Arabidopsis thaliana: one gene and its partner. The protein of the gene in region 2 interacts with the protein of the main gene of each other region in a biochemical or structural test. Each region holds a gene or a part of one and is shown on either strand. Other genes may lie near its edges.

Evidence for each region.
Region 1: the proteins of GN (region 2) and CYP5 form a complex in vitro, tested with the Arabidopsis thaliana proteins (one study listed by BioGRID).

What each region holds. Positions count from the first base shown.
Region 1 is NC_003071.7:12,765,132-12,775,462, reverse strand, and holds CYP5 (cyclophilin 5), read left to right. Parts: upstream 1-4,853; 5' UTR 4,854-4,934; coding exon 4,935-5,000; intron 5,001-5,190; coding exon 5,191-5,260; intron 5,261-5,400; coding exon 5,401-5,448; intron 5,449-5,553; coding exon 5,554-5,577; intron 5,578-5,799; coding exon 5,800-5,982; intron 5,983-6,065; coding exon 6,066-6,280; 3' UTR 6,281-6,507; exon of another isoform or gene 6,508-6,611; intron 6,612-6,849; 3' UTR 6,850-6,852; intron 6,853-7,025; exon of another isoform or gene 7,026-7,219; 3' UTR 7,220-7,295; coding exon of another isoform or gene 7,296-7,673; 3' UTR 7,674-7,853; downstream 7,854-10,331. Other genes in the region: ELF4-L1 (ELF4-like 1), read right to left, coding at 7,296-7,673; ABCG31 (pleiotropic drug resistance 3), read right to left, coding at 9,008-9,274, 9,448-10,102, 10,175-10,308. UniProt on the Arabidopsis thaliana protein: PPIases accelerate the folding of proteins. It catalyzes the cis-trans isomerization of proline imidic peptide bonds in oligopeptides.
Region 2 is NC_003070.9:4,784,359-4,796,742, reverse strand, and holds GN (sec7 domain-containing protein), read right to left. Parts: upstream 8,194-12,384; 5' UTR 8,089-8,193; intron 7,283-8,088; 5' UTR 7,157-7,282; coding exon 6,419-7,156; intron 5,964-6,418; coding exon 2,346-5,963; 3' UTR 2,089-2,345; downstream 1-2,088. Other genes in the region: AT1G13990 (plant/protein), read right to left, coding at 267-404, 493-588, 666-828, 927-964, 1,178-1,249, 1,424-1,461, 1,552-1,933. UniProt on the Arabidopsis thaliana protein: Activates the ARF proteins by exchanging bound GDP for free GTP. Plays a role in vesicular protein sorting. Acts as the major regulator of endosomal vesicle trafficking but is also involved in the endocytosis process.

The DNA of each region.
Region 1 (10,331 bases), on a different chromosome or scaffold from region 2:
ATAGCTAGAAGTCTATTTCGATGTGTTTAGTTCTTTTATAGATGGTTAAATGTTGGACATTATAAATTGAAGATTTATCACAAGACGCTGAGAATGGAGATGAATCAGTGTAACAATCATCTAGAAGGTCATTCAACGAAATATAAAACTAAGATACACTATGTTACAAAAGAAAAATATATATTGGCCATTGCACTGTATTAAGCCAATAAAGATGCATAGTGCTAGAATTCACAACAAGTTAACTAGTAAAAGATGCATAGTTTCTAAACAGAATCAGTTCAGAGAGATAATCTGTGTACTTACGGGTTTTAAAATGTCGGATATCTATTTACATATGGCTATGTTAAGAGTTTAAAAGCTATACAAAGATTGTAATCGAGTGTTTTGGAAAAAAATTAAACACAATGATGATGATAGAAATATTTTTGTTCAGAAAAAGTTAAAATGAATTGATTTGCATACTGACTGATACTTTACAAATAGATTTTTTTTTTGTGAAAATTCAATTATTTAAATTTTGAGACGTATAACTTGAAGATAATAGAAATGATTAACAACAAGTCAACTTAATTATAACTAAGCATATATTCAGTGGTAGACAGTGATATAATTTTACTTTTAAGAGATTAGATGGATGTGATATGGTAAAGAATAAAAGCATGAGTAAGTGATTAGGCCCCAACTCCTTTATAAATTCCACCACCACCATTTATATGCTTTTTTGTTTTTGGTGTCATTGTCATTCAAAAAGTCTTTCATTAATAATCATGAAGAAGAAAAAAAAAAACTTCCTTTTTTGTTTTACTTTTATCTTCCACATTTTATATTCTCCGCCACAAAGGTCTCCTTTTGTATTTCCCCTTTAGGAAAAGGAAATTTACTCAATGACCAATCATTATTACCATAAAATAGTTTTATTATTTTCAGGCCAATTAAAGACAAACAAACATTGATCATTGGACTACCGGCTGCTTTTCAATTTAATTATATTTTTGGTTTCAGCTAATTTATAAATTAGTAAATTTTGATTCAAATATTAATTTGATCGCTTGTATGATTTAAATTTAATTCGATTGGTAATTCAAAATCATAATAGTTTTTTTGTACAAAATAGGATACCTCTTACTAGACTTGCAGGGGTTGCTTGGGTGTTGAGGAATGACAGAGGCAATGTCTTGATGCACAGTAGAAGAGCCTTCTCCAATATTTCCTCCTTTTTGGAGGCTCAATTTCTAAGCATTGTTTGGGCTGTTGAGAGTATGGTTAGTCATCATGTGAATAGGGTGGTTTTTGGTGTGGAAGCTGCGGTGCTTGTTGGGGTGTTAAACAGGCCGCAAGCTTGGCCTTCTTTTAGGTTTCAGTCTTCGGAGATCTTGTTAGCTTTAAATGGCATTGCAGTTTGGAAAGTGGTGCTTGAATCGGTGTCTTCGAATAGAGGTGCTAATCTCATTGCCCAAAGTGTTACTAAGGAGTGTAGGCTTCAATCGTACGTGGCCGTAAGTTTTCCTGCTTGGCTTCTTGGTGTCTTTAGGGATGAGAGAGTTCTAACCTCTGTGGACTGAAGTCTTTTTGCTTTTAGGCTCCTTGCTTTTTGGGAGGCTTATTCTTTTGTTGCCCTGTTAATTTTTGGATTCTCAGGGTTGACCTTTTAGTGGGTGTTTCTTGTGCCCCTTGATCTCATTTTTTGGTCTGACTTTCTGCAAGTCAGTTGTAATTGTGCTAATATCTAATATAACAAGTAATCTACCTTTGCGACAAAAAAAAGGATACCTCTTACTATTGCAGTAAGAGGATACTAATTATCAAATTCATTAGAATCATACTCTCAACAAATCCAAACTGTCACATAAATAAAATAGTATTCATCAGTTCAAAAACAAAGTTTAGTATTCATTATAATTCTGTTTTTAACAATGAAATATCAATATATAATAGTCTCAACATCGCACACTGTACGTGAAAATAGCTTCTCATCTATATCATGTCTTATTGTGAGAGTGTAGTAGGTATGGTATAATGACTATGCTTGGAAAAACTAAGAACGGTATGACCGCAATAAATGATCATTCATTGATACTTTTAGTACAACACAATAAATAATCCTTTTTTGTATCATCTTGAAATAATATAGTATATGCCAAATTTATTGTTTAAAAGTGTAGTTCTTAGGATTAAGACATGCAATCTAAAATTAGTTGGTACTAATAATCGTTGATAATCACTACTTGGTTTTAATTTGAGAATGCATGTTGTTGACATATAAATGTGTAGTTGAGAATACATGCTTCTGGTTAAAAAGGCATTAGACCTTTTGGTTTGGGAGAACCTACAAAGGGTATATATAGTTAATCCGGAAAGAAGAGATCAGAAATATTTTCAAGTTTTCAACAGTCACGTTTCGACATAAATTTTGGTCAAGAACATTGACAAAGATTTTGTGTACTGGTGTAACTTTTCATCCACACAGACTACTTTTCTATATTATTTTAGGCATTTTCTGACTTGAACGTCGAAAAGTTTTCGAAAAAACACAAGTTACAACAATGTTACGACAGTTTAGATTGATAACTTAAGGAATGTGAGCTAGGTGTACGATCATCTATAGCAATAAGCAAAAGTGAGAGATTTCTTTAACAAAAAAAAAGTGAGAGATTTTCGACATTGGACATGTGATTGCGAATAGAATTAAGACACGAAGATTTTTTCTTTTGCCAACAGACATGTGGATCAAAGATGAGACGTAGCATAGAGGATTGCTACTTGATCGATGGAAGAGAAATGTGTATTCAGACTCAAACTCTCGACACCACAGATGACTCGACAAGACAGCAGTAGTCGAATCTAATTTAAAAGGTATTCGATTTGACCCTTACTTTTCTCTATTATTCTTTTCTTGAAGGCATCTTATTTTCGTTTCAGTCAATCCTTTATATACTTTTCCACCATCCACTGATTAATAAAAAGAAAGTAGAATCTATTAGTTTCATCTCTTTGGATACGCAAATGTGCTAGAATCTATTAACGAGCACTATAATTCATAATTTATCTAGCCAGTTATTTTGAAACTCTTAAGATATTTTGGTTCATTATGGTTTAATCTTGTTTAAACCGATTAAAACCGATTACCATGCAATATTATAACGATCAGTTGTATGTAAAACTCAACCCGATTACTGTAAATTCAAAATAAATGACATGATTTTATGTGTTTACATAATTATGAATATATTTAACGTTTGAGCCATTCATATTGCATGATGTTAATCTATTGCAATTTATGCAGAATTCATCTCAAAATATTAAGTTTATAGCTTCAAACTAGTAGAGATATTTTCTATGGTGAATTTGTGACTGCATATATCCTTCTGAGGTTAACATATCATGTGAATGTTGAACTTACAAGAAAAGACACAAAATGTGAAAACTAGTTGTCTTTATAAGGATTGCAAACCCTTTGTGTCAATTGTCAAAAGATAACGCAGATGTTTTATCTTTCTAAAAGTAGCCTGTTTTATATTGAAATCTAATGACTTTTTTTAATGAATACTTGAGTGTGAAGGCTCCAGCGATTACGGATGAAAAGTGAATGTTTCAAAAGTATGTGGATCAACATGTAATTATGTTAGAATTTTGTATATATATATTCCAAGAACATATTGTCCTGACATGCGTCAAGTACTTAGTGATTTAGAATTAATATGGAAAATAAAATGACGCAACGATGATTATGTTTAGTAGAGACTAGAGAGAGGTGGAACTTTTGGGTGATGTCGTTGTCGTCTTCGTGACACCACCACGACAATGTTTGTGGTAACTGGTCAATTATGGTGACCTACTTTTTTGTATGTTTTTCCTAACGAGTCAAAACCCGATATTAACACATTCCTCTAAAAACAACTGATATTATTAAGCTTTCGGCTTTGATTAGAAGCATATTTAGAAATGGTTTTCGACGTGAATATCCTTATCGTTTATTTATCATACCGATGGATAAAACGAATAGTTGCATGAAACACTTGGTCTAAATAAACATACGGTTATAGTTTTAACAAAGTGGTTGTAAAGACAAATGGTTTACAACAACACTTGGCTTTTACAACAAATGGTTTACAAAAACAAATGGTTTACAACAAATGGTCATTGGTCTAGTAGTTTTGTATTTTCATTTGAGAAGAATTGTCGCTGGAGACTAGTGATCAACTCCTCTCAAACACAAAATTATCAAAATCATTCCATTTAGTCAGTCGAAATGGTATCACGATCCATTAGAAAATTCAGTTAGTTAGATATTCGACTCAGTTATAAAAAATCCAGTAAAAACGGCTTACATACTTGTTATAAAAAAACCCCTCTTTTTTTTGGAGAAATATAGAAAATATTTTAAATTTTCAAATGAGTGAAAATATTTTAATCTTTGAAATTAGCAGTATTTTTTGCTACTAATGCATACTGATATGTATGGAATATTAAACACAGCTAGGAAAAAAGTGAATGAACCTATGTTGAAAACATTTACCTCTGAGCTATAATGGTCAGTAAGAAATTAAGAGTTATTCTCTCACGGATTCACAGTACACCCATTATAACAAAAGACTAGTCTTCTCTGACCTTCTTTTGTTGCCACAAGAAAAAAAAAGGTTTCGTCAAAAAATTTCAATTTCATGATGATGAAATTGAGGAATTACCTGAATAAATTGTATAAAGAAAGCATTATGATTTTGATATTTTCTCACCATAAAACCAATACTGTAAAAATGATACAAGTTGTTCTGGATAAAAGGGTCCACATTAAATTTAAAAAGCCCACTAAGAAGTCCAATAACAACTCCAGCGTATGTTAGCATTGGATCGTCAAACATAAACATTTCCTTTCTTCAACTACTACTCTGTTTTCACTTTTCGATTTGAGAAAAAAAAAAACGATCACGAAGATGGCGAAAGCAAGCTTTATTCTACTCGGAACTCTCTTCCTCTTCGGAGCCATAGCTTCAATTCAGGTAACTTCATTCATATCCTCTCGAATCTATATCTGTTCAAATGTTTCGTTACCACAAACGATACATTAGATCTACATCAACATTCTAATGGAAGTCACCAGATTGCTTAAGCTTCTAGTGTTATACTTCAGGAATTAAGAACTATGTGACTATTATGAGAGAGTTCAAATCTCTGTTTGTTAAAATTCAGGCAAAAGAAGATCTCAAGGAGGTTACTCACAAGGTTTACTTCGATGTAGAGATCGACGGCAAATCCGCTGGTATGATTCGATGATTTTAGTCAAAATGTTTGTTCATTAAGCTTACAGATTTGTTAAAATGGATTGTTGCTCAGATACAGCTGATGATTCTTGGTTTGTTTTGATGTTTGATTGATTCTCTGGTTATGATTATGTCGCAGGTCGCGTTGTTATAGGACTATTTGGCAAGGCAGTTCCTAAAACTGCAGGTACAATTATATGGTTTTTGAAGTTTTTGATCATGGTTCTGGACTATTTTAGTGTGTGCTTTATATCTAAGAGAGTAATTCGTGAGTGTGTTTGCTTCTTTGCAGAAAACTTCAGAGCTTTGTGCACAGGTAATCTACTAACTATATTCTTATAGTTTCACTATATAAACTTTACATTATGCACAATCTCGAAACAATATTACAAGCCGGACAATGAGAGTGCTAGTATTTGTTTTCATTAACATTTGTTTCGAGATCTAATGAAATTATTACGGAGTTATAATGGAGATAAGATGCATTTTATTTAATCTTTTCGGAACCGGTTTGTGTTACAATGTTTAAATTTGGCAGGGGAGAAAGGTGTAGGGAAGAGTGGGAAACCTCTACACTACAAGGGAAGCAAGTTCCATCGAATCATTCCCAGCTTTATGATCCAGGGAGGTGACTTCACGCATGGGAACGGTATGGGTGGAGAATCAATCTATGGTCAGAAGTTTGCTGATGAGAACTTCAAGCTGAAGCACACTGGACCAGGTTGGTGATCATTATTTTCCTTGAAGCAAAGTTTTGGCAAGTATTTAGAAATGTCTGATGGTTGACAATGTGATTGGATACAGGTGTACTTTCAATGGCGAACTCGGGAGAAGACACAAATGGTTCGCAGTTTTTTATCACAACGGTGACAACAAGCTGGTTAGATGGAAGGCATGTGGTGTTTGGGAAAGTGGTGCAAGGAATGGATGTAGTTTATAAGATTGAAGCTGAGGGCAAACAAAGCGGAACTCCTAAGAGCAAAGTCGTAATTGCAGACAGTGGAGAACTTCCTCTCTAAGAATAGCATTTTAAAGTTACTCTTACGAGTTAGTTGTAATCTAAACACGTCCCAAATGCTACAAGAACAGAATGGTGTCACTGGACTCTGAAATTTCGTTTTCTTGCGTAACAGACTTTTCCATGAAAATAGTACTCGGCCTTTCCTGTTTTTAGATACGCCATGGAAACTCTATGGAGTAGCTGCTGTATCAGCACGAATATCTTCATCCCATGCTGCTTTGCTCTGTAGATGAAGAAGCTAATCTAATTACTAGTAAAACGGAAAACCAGTAAATTGCAGCAAGCACGTCTTGGTCATGGTGACACGAAATCTCTGTGGTAATATAGAAGATAATCTAATTACTAGTAAAACGGAAAACCAGTAAATTGGCCAAAAATATCAAATAGAACCAGTGAAAACCAGTGAAAACCAGTGATAACATATGCTTCCATCTTCTCTAGAAATTTAGGAATTTGACTGAAACTGCAATTGGCTTGTAGCCCAAGTTAATTTTCAATGAATTCCTTCACCATGCCATGGAACATTGTTTTGATGTATCTATCACGTAACCTTTGCGGTCAAAGCAGTAGGTTTCACGGCATCCGGTGATCGGTGGAAGCATTATAGGGTTCATGACATCCGGTACTGGCCTAACAACGCCTTGTGCCCATGGAGACCTATTGCAGTAAACTATTTATGATGTGTGAGGAACCTAGTGGGGCTCATCTAAGACTCTTACCCACTCATTGCTCATTATGATGGAATGGATCATCAATTCATCATGATCTATATTCAATACTTAGCTATAGAACTGACCAGAGCCATCTAAAAGCTATTTCAATCCATAAAAGCTTTTAGAAAATGTAGTATCAAAAAAATCATGAAACTAGTGAATGAGATCATGCAGAATCAAAACAAAAACAGAGGAGCTGAATACAGAAGCATAAAATACCTTAGAGAACACGTAATAGACTAGTGCAAATATCCTAATCCTTGTAATCATATACAAACTCCATGACACTCCTAATCGCGCTTAAGAACCGGTGGTGGTAGTTGTGGTGTCGCCGTCCTTGGTCGTCCTCCGCCGCTGATCGAATTTTTTGGCGAAATTGAGAGATAAATCAGAGTAAATCTCCATAACTTGAGAGATATTACCGTTGATTTCGTTGATCAAGCCAACGTTTCTAGAGACGTTATCTGGGATTCGAGACATGTGGTTTTCGTTGACGCGTTGAATCAAATCACGATTCTGATCAAGATAAAGCTGTGCACGTTTGAATCCATTACTCAACGTATCCCACACCTCCACGTCTTCCACCGCTGCCGAAGCCGCAACATCTTCGCCGTCGTTTTCGTTCATCTCCGGAGATCGGTTGTTTCCGACGAGCGATCGATTTCTCGATGCTTCCATTATTTTACAAATACATCAAAATTATTCATTCATTGTTGACGACGCGATTGGAATTGTTTGTTTCTAAAGATATCTTTGGGAGGAAGAGAGATGAATTGGGGTGACACGTGGAAGAAACCGACCCGGAAAGCGGTTGGTCGGGTCAAGAAGATGACGGTGACGGGGTTGCGTGATGGACCAATGGGTGTTGAAAGAAGACGTCGTTGGAAGGTTATTTAGAAATTATTACATTATTTTTATTTTATATGAGAAATTAGTCTTTATGAAACAAAGATTACGAACAAAAATCTAACAATATCAAACGACAGCAATTGAACTATAACCCTAAAGAGAGCAAAACAAAATCAATATTCAGTGTACAAAACTATAAACATTAAAATTATTGATGGATTTGCTACTAACTCAACCGCAACTGTTATACCAATGCATATCTCAAAGTATCAAGTTCTACGAGCTCGAGTCTCATCACTTCTTCCACAAATTCTTAACAAAACAAGAAAATATATCTTTAGTGAAACTTATACATATCGAAACCAAATGAGGTCAAACTTATATTTATTTTTTTTGGGCAACAAAAAAAAAAGAAAAAGAAAATAAAAAAATAAGTTTGACCTCATTTGGTTTCGATATGTATAAGTTTCATTAAAGATATATTTTCTTGGTTTGCTCTCTTGAGGTCAAACTTATTCATACTGACCTTTTTCTGTTCTTTTCTGATCTCTTTAGGAAGACGAAGCCTAGCCGAAAACTAAAATGAAAATGCATAAGTGAAACAAGAAAAAGTGTTTCCATGGAGTGTGTGTGTGTGAAGAGATCTTCGATGGGTCTCTCTTTATATATATTCAAGGAACAAAATGGGTTAGTTGAAGAAAGATTTTAGGTAACATTTTATTTTTTACTTATCAGAGAGTTTTTTTCTCTCATTTGATTTGCGTGAATCGGTGTTAGGTCGTCGTTTAGGAGAGTGTGTTCACTTTGGTACATCCACAAAAACTGTTCCAAAATACACAACCAATTAAACCACAAAACATTATTTTATTTTACATGAGAAATTAATCTTTATGAAAGAAAGGTTACGAACAAAAAACCCCAACAATATCGAACGACAGCAATTGATCTATAAACCCTAAACACGGAAAAAACAGAATCAACCACACATCCAGTGTACAAAACTATAAAACCCTAATTAGAGCAAAACAGAATCTTATATTTTAGGTTTGTTTTTTTCGTCAATGTCCACAAAAACTAACTTTAAAAAGAATCATAACTACTCTTAAAACGGAACACCAGTGAAAAAGGCCAAAAATATCAAAGTTAGTCCCACAGGACTTTTTTTATCTTCTCTGGAAGTTGAGGTATTTGACTGAAAGTGCAAATGCTGAGAAGAAGAGAGCACAAAAACCGACAAGAACAGCAGCAGATACACCAATCATGTTTGGCTTGTAGCCGAAGTAATATTCAATAAACTCCTTCACCGTGCCATGAAACAATGGCTCGTTGATCATGCTTTCCACGTCACCAAGCTGCGAAAGGATTACTCCTTGTAGTGTCCACGCCACTGGACATATGTAATAGAACCATATCCACCACACTGGAATCAACTGAATTACCAAAACAAACACAAAGGGTTAAAGATTATAAGGGTTCAAAATGTGGTAAGGCTGATTAGTCAAGAATCAAATTTAGTAACAATAATCCATCAATACTTAGTTCTCGATTGTTCGAATGCATAACTATATTAGCTACCTCTCATAGAGTGATATTAAATACTTACAGGCTTTTGGACGAGGAAACCGGATAGGAGATTCCAGAGAGAGTAAAACGCAGAGGAGATCACAGCGGCTAAATGCTGATTCGGGGTGAGACCAACCGCCATCATGCCATAGAAGGTGAAGTAGGTGAATGTGAGGAACATGAACACCAAATACAGTACAAACTTACTGAACGTTCTTTCAAAGCCAATGGTGAAGTATGTGATGACACCGTAGAGAATGGTTTGGGTCAGAATGTAAGGTATCTCCACAAGACCCTGAGCTGCTGCATATGGAATTGGAGCATACATACCAGCGGCTTTCTCTCTGTAGAAAACTGTTCTTTCGATTGAAACGATTGGTTGTACTGATGAAGCGTTACTAACTCCAAGAAACAGACAAGCCGAGTAGAGAGCTCCCATTACGGTGATCAAATCCTGTGAGGAAGTCCTCTTGGAACCAATGTCCCAGAAAACTGTTCCCAGTATAAACGCAGCGATCGTTGTGAAGACTAATCTCACGAGATTGTATTCTGGACTTCTCCAGTAGACAAGGTTCTGTTTCCAGAGACAGAGTAGAAATTGAGATAGTTGGTTTTGTGAGTATCTTGATGTAAAGCTTATTGGTTCTGAGCCTTCTGGTGGAACACTGAGTTGCTTGATGTTTGCCTCTACTTCTCTGTTTAAAATACACAGTATATGGTTTGATTTATGTTTTTGAAAATGTAGCTTTAAGGATTGTGATAGTTACCTAAACTGGTCAGATTTCTTGTATAAATCTGCAAACTCCATGTTATATTTCTCTTCCAAAGCAGGTGTAGTTACTTCAAGCATCCAAGTTGCTGGATTGTAACCACTTGAGATTGGAGGTACTCCGTTAATCCCCTGTAGAGGGTTTAGGGTTTGTC
Region 2 (12,384 bases):
TGGTCTTTTTTGTCAACTAATCATAGATACTATAAATACTCACATGTTGATTGACCAAGTAATACATTACCTACTAGTGTTAGCTTTAAAGCCTTCAAAGAAAAGAGCGCAACTTCAAGAGAATTATAAGGAACAAAAAAAAGTTATGGAGCACAAGTAAAATGCATTTTATATATATACACAGTATCACCCACGGTTAATTACTGTTTAGTCTATACAAAGTATTTTCAATTATTGCAAGTAAAATTAATACATTGTTTCACAAGCTATTTATTATCCCTCAAGTCCTCAAGAGAACGCTTCCGGGATCCGAGATTACGTTCCAGCGTCTGAGGTGTAGGTGGTGTTCTTCCACGGCGGAAGAGCACTGCCAGAGACCTTGTTTTCCGACAAAGATCAAAAACCTATTCAAAAAAAAAAAAGCAGATCATTTCAAATGTTTAAAGGCAACAAGTTCTAGAATTAGATGATATCTTTGTCTCATAATCTTACAGAGGAGGCCTCAATCTCAGCGACACCTTCACACCCTTTCCCTCCCCCTTGTAATAGGTCACAGTATCTAACAGCCTCATTCACATCTTCGAAAACCTTTGAGATAAAAACTAGGCATATCACGTTGTCTGGGTTTCATAAGGTCTTGAAAGTGATTCAGTGAGAATACTTACCAGTACTCCATCTCGAATGTCTTCTACGAGCATATCGAATTTAGTTTTGGGTCTAGCCTGCTTTGTCTGGTTGCTGATCCTACTAGGGAACAACAGTCCAAGCTCTTTTTCTACTTCACTGTTTATAAGGATTGCTAATGTCATAGGGAGAAGAAAACTAAAACTATAAAAAAAAACTTGAGTGGAATAGAGTTGGAACCTGTGGTTTGTTCTTGTTTTCATGGTACATATCTGGTTTTCTCTATGTGTTAATACATATACAGGCTTCGAATCTCCTCTCCATGGGTTGGACTCCAACACTAAGATTGTGAGAAGCCACAGTGAGAGAAATGGTTCTCAACGAAATCACTCAGTCAAAGATACAGAGCACTAAAGGAACAACATCAATTTATTAACTTTAGATGAATACAAGCTTAAATTGAATAAAACACTTATGTTCCTATTGCTTTGATATTCCTATGCATCAGCACTATGTGAAAGATGAGATGATAAAACCGTGCTTGCAATCTTACTGTAAGAGTGGAATCTAGAAATGAACAATTTTCCTCATCATAGTTCAGCTGAAGCACTCTTCTCCTGGGGAACTAAAGAAATGGTATGCAGAACACAAACTTTTGAATCATAACTAACACTACATCTATCAATGGAGAGCTTCTTCACCGGTTGTGTGTGACACAGTGACTAAATTCTGACATTGTTCAACAAAACGATTTGACTCCTGTTAACAAAAACAAGGCACTAAGGGAATTTCAAACTACTACAGTTCCCAAACTTCCTAGACAATCTTTAAGAAACTCTGATCAAGTTAGTTGCATCAACGAAAGTATTAATTTTGCATCACCAAAATCAAAGTAAACGCAGGAATTGAGAGCGATAGAGATTATACCGTCATAGCTAGTGGAATCAAACGTCTGCTCAAGTTTCCGACGCATGTCGTAAGCACGCGACGAAACTTGCCTTACAAACTCATCGGAAGTCCCAGGGATCGTACCATCCAAGTGAAGCGCCTTCTCAACTTCCTCGCTCTCTTCTTCATCGCCACCAAGCTTATCTGATCCTCCTCCTCCGCCGCCGGTCGATTTACAGCTAACGAAGTGTCTTCTTCTAGAAATCGAAATCCGTCTCCCGGAGCTGGACAAGCCGAAAAGGTAAGAAGAACGGCGTGAAGGAAGACGAATCAACACTGATCGTGAAGTTGAAACGGGGATCGTAGTAGTGGTGGCCGGAGGAAGAATTATGGAAGGAGAAATAGATGTTAGCGATTCCATTGAAACTTCCTTCTCTTTCTAATTCACTGTTTATCTTTCCCTTCTTAGAAAATCAAACGATCCTTTCTTAATTTTCTCGGGAAAAGAGAAAATTCTCGACGTGACGTAAACGACTCAACAAGAAGAAAAGAAAAAAACTCGTGGAGGCAAAATTTAACAACTCTCCTGAATCTACTGATATTTTTCCTTTGGTGGGTTCCACACATGTTCAAGACCTTCTACCTCGTTCCAAAGGTCCGTGATTAACAAAGTCGTAATTAAGAAACTTGCTTAATTAATACGAGTCTCTGAATTAGAAAGACTTATATATTACAAAAAAAAACGTAGAGAGGTGTTACATAAGAAGCTTTCACTTTCACAGTACTTATATGGATATTCGAAAGAAACTCACCTAATGATCTCACTTGTAAGGTCACGAACCAGTTGTGTTTTCAGGAGAAGATAAGCCATTCGATACGGTTTCATCATCACCAAGTTGTGAGGATTCTTGATCAGGGAATAGCTCCAGTCGCATAGACGGTGCAATGTTATTCACATGAAGCCATGTTAGCTCCCATAAGCTATCTCCACCAAGAGCACTTCTTTGCAATAGCACGCCTTTCGTCTTCATCACCAGCAATATGTTTTTGAGAAGCTCTGGTACTGATTCTTGTAGCTTGTCGCTTTTTTTGCCTCTTACTTTCACTTTCATGTATTTCTCCATTCGAGTTAGAACACCGAGCCATAGCTTGCAGAAGGTTGATAACTGAGATAGCTCTTGGAGTTGCTGAAGAAACACTTTGGAGAGAAGTTTGATTGCGAGAAGCAATGTGCCTTCCATGTTTCGGTAGTCTTTCTGTGACCCAGCAGCTATCTCAAGTAAGTCATCCAAAACCGTGAAGATTACTTTGTCAAAGCATTGAGACCACATGCTATGAGCTAGGTTGATTCCGTCTACTCCGCCTAAACACTTCTGTAATGACTGTAAAGCGTGGTTTCGGACATCCTCCCTCTGGTCTAAACACACTTTTCTTAGTCCTTGAACAAGCCTTAACCACATTTCCCCAATATCTTGTGACATCTTCCCGAAATCTTCTTCTCCCATGTTTTCCTTAGCTGAGAGAGCCCATTTAGCCAAAAATTCTAATGAATCTCCCATTAGATCAAGGGCACGGATAGAGCGTTCGGACTGTCCCACGCGGGATTCAGCAAACTGTCTTGCAGCATCAACACAGAGTACATAATTGGCTGGATACAGGTGAGTTCCTTCAGACATAACAAAGGATACGGCATCAAATCCTGATTCAGAAGCTTCTGGGTGCCGCGCTGTGATGGAGAGTAAGGATGTGATTGTTCTCCAACCCGCCTGAGACCTGATGTGATTAGCATTGGCTTTCACAAGACGGCTGACTTCAATTGCAATTTGCTCACAATAGGCATCTGCAACACGTGCATCCAGTTTCAGCACAAGCTGAAGAGATCTCAAAAGCTCATCAGCTAGGCTTTCTTTATAAGGAAGTAGTCTCTGGCAGATCCGAAGTAGACCAAAAATAGCTTTATCCACTAAGTTGCAGGGCATCACCGTTGACTGAGCAATTGTAGCTATATGTTCATAGACGCCTTGCCATAGGAGAACGATCCTGTCTCTGTTGTTTAGAGTGATTGCAATAAGCAATTCCAGACAGAAAACCGCAGTATCCTCATCCTCTGGAGAACTGGTTCCTTTCTGTGGCCTACCTGCAGCCCAAATGAGAGCACGCGCAAGCTGCAACAAAGATTCAGCTTGTAGAAACTTGCTTTCGGTAAATATGCTGTCAATGTGACATTTCTGAATTGTTTGAAGTGTTCGTTGATGAGCTGCAAGCTGTTGCTCAGTAGGCTGTGATCTTGGCTCTTCTGTATCAAGTGAAAGAAGCTGACTAAATCTTCCCATCAATCCGGAAGATCTCCTCGGAGTTCCCATTGACTGTAGATGAGCTGAAGATAGGGAATTCGCGAGGGGCTTTCCTTGCCCTTGCTCAGATGAATGTTCTGATTCATCAGCTGCATCACTGGCTACACGAGCTGGCAGAAGTCCAAGTTTATGTAGCCGTAAGATACAGTCCAATATGTTCCTCCAACCCGTACGTATATAATCTCCATATTTGTTTGCAATGGTAAAAATTGTGATAGTAGCCATCCTTGCTTTTGCGTCATCACCAAATGCAAGAACGGGTTCATCAACAGATGATGGATTCAACAGAGTTGTGAATTTGCAGAGAGAGACAACCAGATCATCAAGCACATCTTCAAGATGATGACAGGCAGAAATTTTAGCTATAGCCAAGAATCCATCGATGCATGTCTGGTAAACGTCTTCATGTTCTGCATGGTCAAAAACGACTGATATGGCAGCAATGGTTGGACCAGACATGATAGCAAACATATCATGGTCAAGATAAGCCCTTGAATCAGCCAGAATATATGGAGCAGTTTTCTTTGATTTATGCATCAAATCAATCCAACGGCTGGGAGTCATTTCAGGAAAGCCTGCACCTTGTTCTGGAGTAGTCCTGATCTCATTGTTGCAGATGGAGTGAAAGAGTTCAGACAAGAATTCTCGAGGTAGATCATTTCCTCCATTGATATGCCTATTATTGCGAATGAAATCCTCTTCTGTCATCTTTTTCTTTACTTGAACGTTGTGCTGATCAGTGTTAAGCATGATAATAGAGTATGATAACACAAGAGCAGCATCCTTGTTGGCCAGAATCTCAGGAGATTGCATATAGTATCTTTCAGAGAACGCCTCAAGCACTCTCTGTATTTTCTGGGATTCTCCAGGCAACCTGAAGGTTTCCAAGAAGAGTCGGAGTGCAGTATCCAGATTCATGTACTGGAAATCGAAAGTCCCAGCAAACTCATTGAGAACTTGAACACAAAATTCGTCATGATTTCCAAGAAAATCCCCAACAAGGTTCTTATCAAGCCCAGCAGTATATCTAAAAAAGCAAGCAACACTTTGGGGATCGAGTTTGTCAGGCAAAAGATGTGTGCCTTGGAGAAACTCTAACCCCTTCTTTGGATCCCTGTTAAAATGATCTGCTCCAATCATTAACCTTCTCTTGATATATTTTCTCCTGCGGACAAATGAAACCCAGTGATTTGGATCACTATAGTTGTCACACTTAACCATCCAGAAAGGCGTGTACTCATCAAGATGGACAGGACCCAAATCCAAACCAGTCAATCCATTACTTATCCTCTCGGCCATTCCCTGAATAACAGCGATTAGGCCATCCAGAGCAAGAATGTGCATTGCAGACAAAGGACAGTTCACAGGAAATGTGCTCTTCGAGAGAAGATTAGACAGCTCCTCAAACACGTTGCTGCAAGTTATATCACAATCGAGATTGGCATACATTTCAACCATAAAACTCTTCTGCCTACAAAAATTCACAAGAGCCTCCATAGCAACCTCTTGCTGCTGATACGAGGGCCCATATTTTCCTTGAGCAAGCCTTAGAATCACACATGAAAAGAATGCCTCAAGCTGCAACTTGAGTTCAGTTCGTAGATGTTGATACAAATTGAGCACAATGCTGCAAACCATCGAAAGAATCAGGGGGCTCATCGACAATCCGAACTGCATCAAGTTACGAAATAACTCATCTTGAATTAGGCTTAACAATCTTGGGTGATGGCGGATGGACGATCCACCCAATTCAATGGCTGAGTTGATCAAGTTCAACGCAAACAGAGGCACATCTTCGTCAAATGCTATGGTGTTTGATCGGGATCCCATACCAACATGTTCGACCACATTTAACAAAGAGCACAAGAAGTGAAAAATTTCCACCATACTTGGGACTCCGTATGGCTCTGTCATTATATGCAAATCATATGGAGAAGCCGGCTTTCTGCTTCCAGGGCCAACTGGTCCATCATCCATCAAACTTTGAGCACCAGTTGCAAAAGTTGCCATAGAATTTTCAACATCATACTCGGAATTAGCATTTCCATCCTCGACTGGTTTACTCACAATGGCATAATCACTGTCTACTCCAGCTTTCTGCGACCATGCAAAACACCATCACTAATTATTGTACAATAATTAGTGATATATGAATCAAGGGAAGAAGGCTTAAAATCCAGCATTTGTTGGGAAAATTATTCCGTATGAAATTAATTATTCACTATCTACAGAGTTTCTGGTCTAAATTCTCTAGTAGTGATCTTTGACTCGCACTAGGAAAAATATATTTTCCTATCTGAATGAAAACAAGCGTCTACATAATTTTGAAGTTCAAGAGTAAGTTGCAGACCTATATTTAACAAATCGCCAAATCTATGGCTCTTTATCATTTCTATTTAAATAGTTTCTCTGCTTTTTCAATTTTCTAGGTTGCAAGTAAAGGAACCTAGCTACTGTAGTATCATGTTTTTATTTAATCTCAGAACATCCTACAGGACCAAACTGACTTGTAACCAACTAGAAAGGAAATAACAAGGACCCCAATACCATACCTCTTGTTTGATGCTACCAGCTCTGTTGACAAGTGTAGTTTCTGTTCTTTCAACATCTGGGAGATGCGAGAAGATACACCTCACTAATTCATGCATCGTGTGGCGAGCTACTCGTTGCAATAACTCACCTTTCATTCCTGCTTGGTGGACAACACGAAAACAAGTGTTGACGACAGTGCATACATGCTGATTGCTTAGCATAACTGATGCTTTATTTTTCATACATGCTAGAAGAACCTGAAGTATCTTCATTAGCACAACCTCTTCTGATGCAGGATCTGTCACCTCAAATCGACAGCTTGTCACAGAATCAACTACCAAGTGCATAGCGTCTTCAATATTCGCAGTATTTTGATCAATTACATTCAGGTTTAAGATCTTGTAAACTGATGACAAAGCAATGCTGGTTATTGGTGCTCCAGTTTCATCTGACCGTATCACATCAAGAAAGGGCTGAAGATACAACATGGGACTAATTGTATGCCACGGCTGGTTCCATGAGAACACCTGTTTTCTAAGAGCTTTAAGTGACTGAATCAACGAGTGTTCTAGTTGATCATCACCAGACATGTATCGACCTCCCCATCTTACATTTCTTCTCATAACCGCTAAAACAGCAGCAATTTCCGTATCAATCATGCATGCTAAAGTGGTTGTATTACTTGAATCAGTACACTCAAAGTCCTCAGGTTCTTCCTCAATGGCCTTGATTCCAGAATGCAACTTTAGGCGACCCATTTAATCTGCTCAAATCTTCAGCCAGAGCCCAAGGCACTTCAATGCTCACAATCTTCCTGGCAGAATATAAAGTAGATACAGCCGGAGCATATACCCTTCACAGATAGAGGCCAAACTCAATCATTACTGGCAAAAAAAAACAAATTAAATTTAAAAAATCTTATTTTAAAACAGATAATAGATGCATTTCAAGAGCTAATAAGATAGAAAGTGGCGTAACTTTTCACATCATACATTACAGAGATAATCAAAATCTACAACGCTGTCTCTGAATGAAACCACTTTGATTCAAACAAATAAACCACAAGCAAAGAATTCTATAATGGTCAGAAACCATGCTGATAATTTAGTAACTATATAGAGTAACCTCTTCCATAGTAATAACATATGTTGCAGATTTCCCAAATCACATTTAGATTGTGAATAGCTAAGCAACTATTTCCAACAATTTGAGCCCCCAAAAAAACGAATTCCTACAGATCCCTAAATAGCAAAGTTTGTAAACTCGTTGTTACATCAATAAACCTGATAACACTAAACCCATCTACAAAATCAGCAACTTATAGAGTTAAGAGTCACTATATCCGATGGAATAAGTTTAAACTACAATTCAACAGACCAGTGACAGTGTCATGAAACTATTATCAGTTCTCCAGATAAGAAAAATCCCGTCAACACAAGAGAACTCGAGACACGTCTCGCTAAATCTCGAAATTCAGGAAAATCACCAGCAATGCGAATCAAAGAAAACGAGGAGTTTGTTCGACGCTAGAACGAAATCTAGTTCAAATATAGAAGAAGAACAAATAGAGGTAACTTCTGACTTAGATTCTAGTAATCATTAAGAACATCAATGCACAACGAAGGAACGATACAAACAAATAGTATACGAAGAAGAAGTTCGAAGAAACGAGATCTGTAGATTTACTTACTGTTTCTCCAGCGATTCAGAGATCTGTCGTCGGGCTCCGACGACGAGAAACAGAAATGCTTTTGAGGAAAGCACGATCGGAAATTCTCGAGGAGGGAGCAAAAGGCGAAGAAAGCAAAAAAATAAAAATAAAGTATGTACTTGAATTTACGAAAACACCCCTCTCTGCCCAAATACTCATATTTCCAGGTAGATGGGTCTGTTATTTAAGATATTTATACTTGAGACCCTTAATTATCTGAAAATTTACTTCATAACCCGATAAATTATTACTAATGGGCCTATAACAGGCTCATAATATAACGAGAAAAATATAGGCCCAATTAATGGAACCTTAATGAACGGCTTTAGTTTGTTTTATGGTCTTGCAGGCCTCACTGTATAAATTTGTTTTTTTTTTTTGTTTTTTCTCAAATCATATCACTTGTCATTTTCAAAAAATATGGAAAAGAAAATCGTATAAAATTCTATTTGGAAAAGTATATGCTACAAACAACTGTAATAGTACTAGTATAGTTTTGTAGAACAGTTGAATAATTCTTGTTCTTTGATGTTGTTGAGGTGGTTGCCTTTGCCAGTTTGTCCTAATGGATAGTGGGAGACAATACTTTTTAGAGTTTCATAACCGAAATATAAGTAAACCTAAATTAATATGGAGTTGTCCAACATAAACTATATAAGGGATTAGTACACAATAAACATTTTTTATATGTCTCTTCCATTTATAATCATAAGATATTTATGACTCTCTGCTTTGTCTGTTTAGGTATTCTTACACCCGAAGGACATGTCTCTTTCATGTTTAATTAGTGTCAAAAGAAATTGAACTACCATTTTTCAAAAAATATATAATATGTTTATCAATCTATGATTCATCATATGCATAATAGAAATATCTAAATAGCTAGCTCGATTCATATGTTGTGGACGAAATTCGTTAGGGCATTTTTTTTTATATATATCTTAAGTGATTATGTAATACATAACAAATGACATAGTTTTTGAAAATTAACAAAAAAAAGAAGAAAAAGTTAATTAGTTATTCATATGATTTAGATGTAAATAGTCTTCATACTAAGAGAATTATATTTGTTTTCAGTTGACATATATACATCCAGGTATTTGATATCTGAATAGTATAACATTGAATATCAAACATATACTATTCAATATTCATTATCATACACACCTCTAGATTTATAGATATCTAGATTTTGGTAGTATAATACAAAGTTGCCAGTTGGCAATGTTTCCTAAGGTCTACACACGTTTAAGTATTTGTTTGGAACGTCGTATCTGATTCTTAATTTCTATATTAACTTGTATGATATATTTGGTATCCACGTAACTACTAAACTGCACCGGTCTCTGTTTTAAAAAAGTATCAAAATGATATATAAACTAGATTTTAACATGTGATATACTGCGGGACGATTTATTTTTTAAAAGTAATATATATTAAAACTTGCAAATTTTATTTTTATAAAATATTTTTATTTTACAGTTTATAATTGTTATTAAATAACACTATACCACGAATTCATGAGATAATTGTTAAAAAACTGAAGTTTTAATCCCTACTTAAACAGCATATTAATAATATTTTAAAATTTTATAAATATTGATTCAAATACATCCACCATATAACCCAATTCCAAAATAAAACCCGTTCTGTAAATTTTTTACCCGTCCCGTGATTTTTTTTTTAAAGTAGTAATTTTTAAAATTTAAGAATTATTTTTTATATATAAAAGTTTTGCACATTGTATCATTCTCTAATACATTTATATTTTATTGTTTAATTTTATATATAGTAATATTATACATACCACATAACATTTTTGGTTTTATATAATCTTTTCTAAATTAGGATGATTTGATATGTTTAATATTAGTGGTCTTAAAAAATAATTAATTAAAGATTTAACCCGTATTAAAACGGTGGATTAATTATATTTTACTTTTTTATTAATGTTGATTCAAAAACCCGTCCCTCCAAATTCGTCTTGCCAAAAAGTCATTTATTTTATTAATATTAATTTTATTAATGATATGACTCTGAATTATATTCTAAACATTTTAGCTAATAACATCGGAGTGCACCATATTTATTTAATAGGAGAATGTACCATATGACCCGAATACACTTTTATCCAAATCCACCAAAAAAGTCTTGCAAAAATACTATAGAGATAAGAAACGATAGTCGGTTTTGATAGGTATAAGATTAGCAAATATATTAGTTAGATTAAATTAGTTAAAGAATACAAATTGAAAAGGTATATTACATTATTCGAATATAGTATCAAAACTTATATAACACAGAGATTTGATAAAAATTTAATTGTTGAATACTTTTTTTTGTGCTAATTTTTATGTGATTAAAATTTAATTGATCTCATGTGTATGTTTTGTTGATATTATCTATATTGTTTAGTGTTTAAGATTATACACTTGTAGTTTGATAGTTAATTTAAGAGTTTCACTTGTAGTATTCCATCTTGTATTAATATCGATCTAAACCGTCAATTCTAGGATTTTCCAGCTTTTATTAAAAATTGAATCACATCTAATATGTTATTAATTATTGTAATATATAAGATTATAAATTTTCAATATAATATGTATGAAATTGAATATAAATATTTCAAATTATGACCCGTTACTCAGTAGAAAGTTTTCTTAAATCTATTTTTCACCCGTTATAATATTTTTTCATGTATTGAACAGTTTATATTCGTTTTTAAAAATTCAAATTGTGGCATATGCAAAATAACTCTAATTCTTTTTTTATAATGATGATATTATTTTTCCGCAAAAATAAAATCATATAAAGATGAGAAGTGAACTATAATAATTAATAAAAAATTAATATGATAATTTAGATATCAAATATAATTTGTTGATTTTAATTGGTTACTTTTTTGGAAATTAATAATGTATTTTGTTTTTTAATTAAATTAAATTAATTAAAATTTAGATATCAAATCTTATATGTTGATTTTGATTGGTTATTATTTGTGGAAAATAATAATGTATTTTGTTTTTTAATTAAATTAGTATTTGACTTTTTAATCCTTAAAGAGATAAATTAATTTACTCTTTAAAATTTTATTTCTAATGGCATATCTATATAATTACTTACAAAAATTAAGGTTACATTTAAAATGTACTTCCCAAATAATATAGTAGGATCAAATACATAATCGATATTTATAGTTTAGTTTTCTTCTAATAGAGTATTAAATTGATGTGTTACCAAATTTAGTTTGATTTTAGGTCTAGAATTTAGGGTTTGGAATAATTGATCAAAGAAGTTGAAGTTAGTATGAATCCGTTTGGTATAGTTAAAGAGCTGTCATCAAATTTATTACTTTTTCAAGTGAAGTTTTTTTGTTTATTCCAGTGGTTCAAGTAGACATTGTGACTCCAACTAGATAAATGAGAAAGTTATTATTACAAGAAATTTTATTACGGTGACATCATATAAGTAAATACGTTTCGAATGATTACAGCTGTAGCCTCTCTTAATTGGGATTTAAAGCTTCCAATTACTATCTCATCTTCTTCCTCTTTTTCTTTTTTTTTTGTGCGCCAATCTCATCTTCCTCTTCTAATTAAAAACAATTAAGTTCTTTTGAATATCGTACAGTACAGTTAATCAGTTATTATTGTACTAGTTCTTTCATATAGAAACTTGTAGGCTTGTAGCTAGACTGTAGTCATATACTCATATTATCAGGGTCTCATCAACCTTAACAAAACATATCGTAGTTATATACTATATTTATAAAAAGGAGCAATACACTTTGTCAAATTTAATCCGATCTTTTAGTATTTCAAAATTACGATTATTAAACTAGACCTGGTTTGCTTGGAAAAACTAGATCTACTCAAATGTTATCTTACCTAACCTAATTTTGTATCGTTTGGGTGAGAAATGGTGGCCTCGCTTCTAACAAGTTTTCTTCTTATAATCGGGACTCGGGAGAATCAACTTCAAAGGAGATTAAATTTAAACATTCGTAAACGTCTGGAAATCAAAATAATACCATAAAATTGGGGGAAAAAAAAAGAACAAGATCATTTTTCGGCCTTCATTATTTTCTTACCCAAAAATCTTTTTTTCTTCATGCTTTCATGATACTAAATATTTTCATTAAAAAGTTTAAATTCTTACATGAACAAATTGTTTAGGACATGTGTAGTGTGACTAATTTGTTGTGCTGACTAGTTTTTGTTTCTCGGAAATGGTTGAATAGGTCTTTTCGGAATTTAACGTTTGATACATAAAATT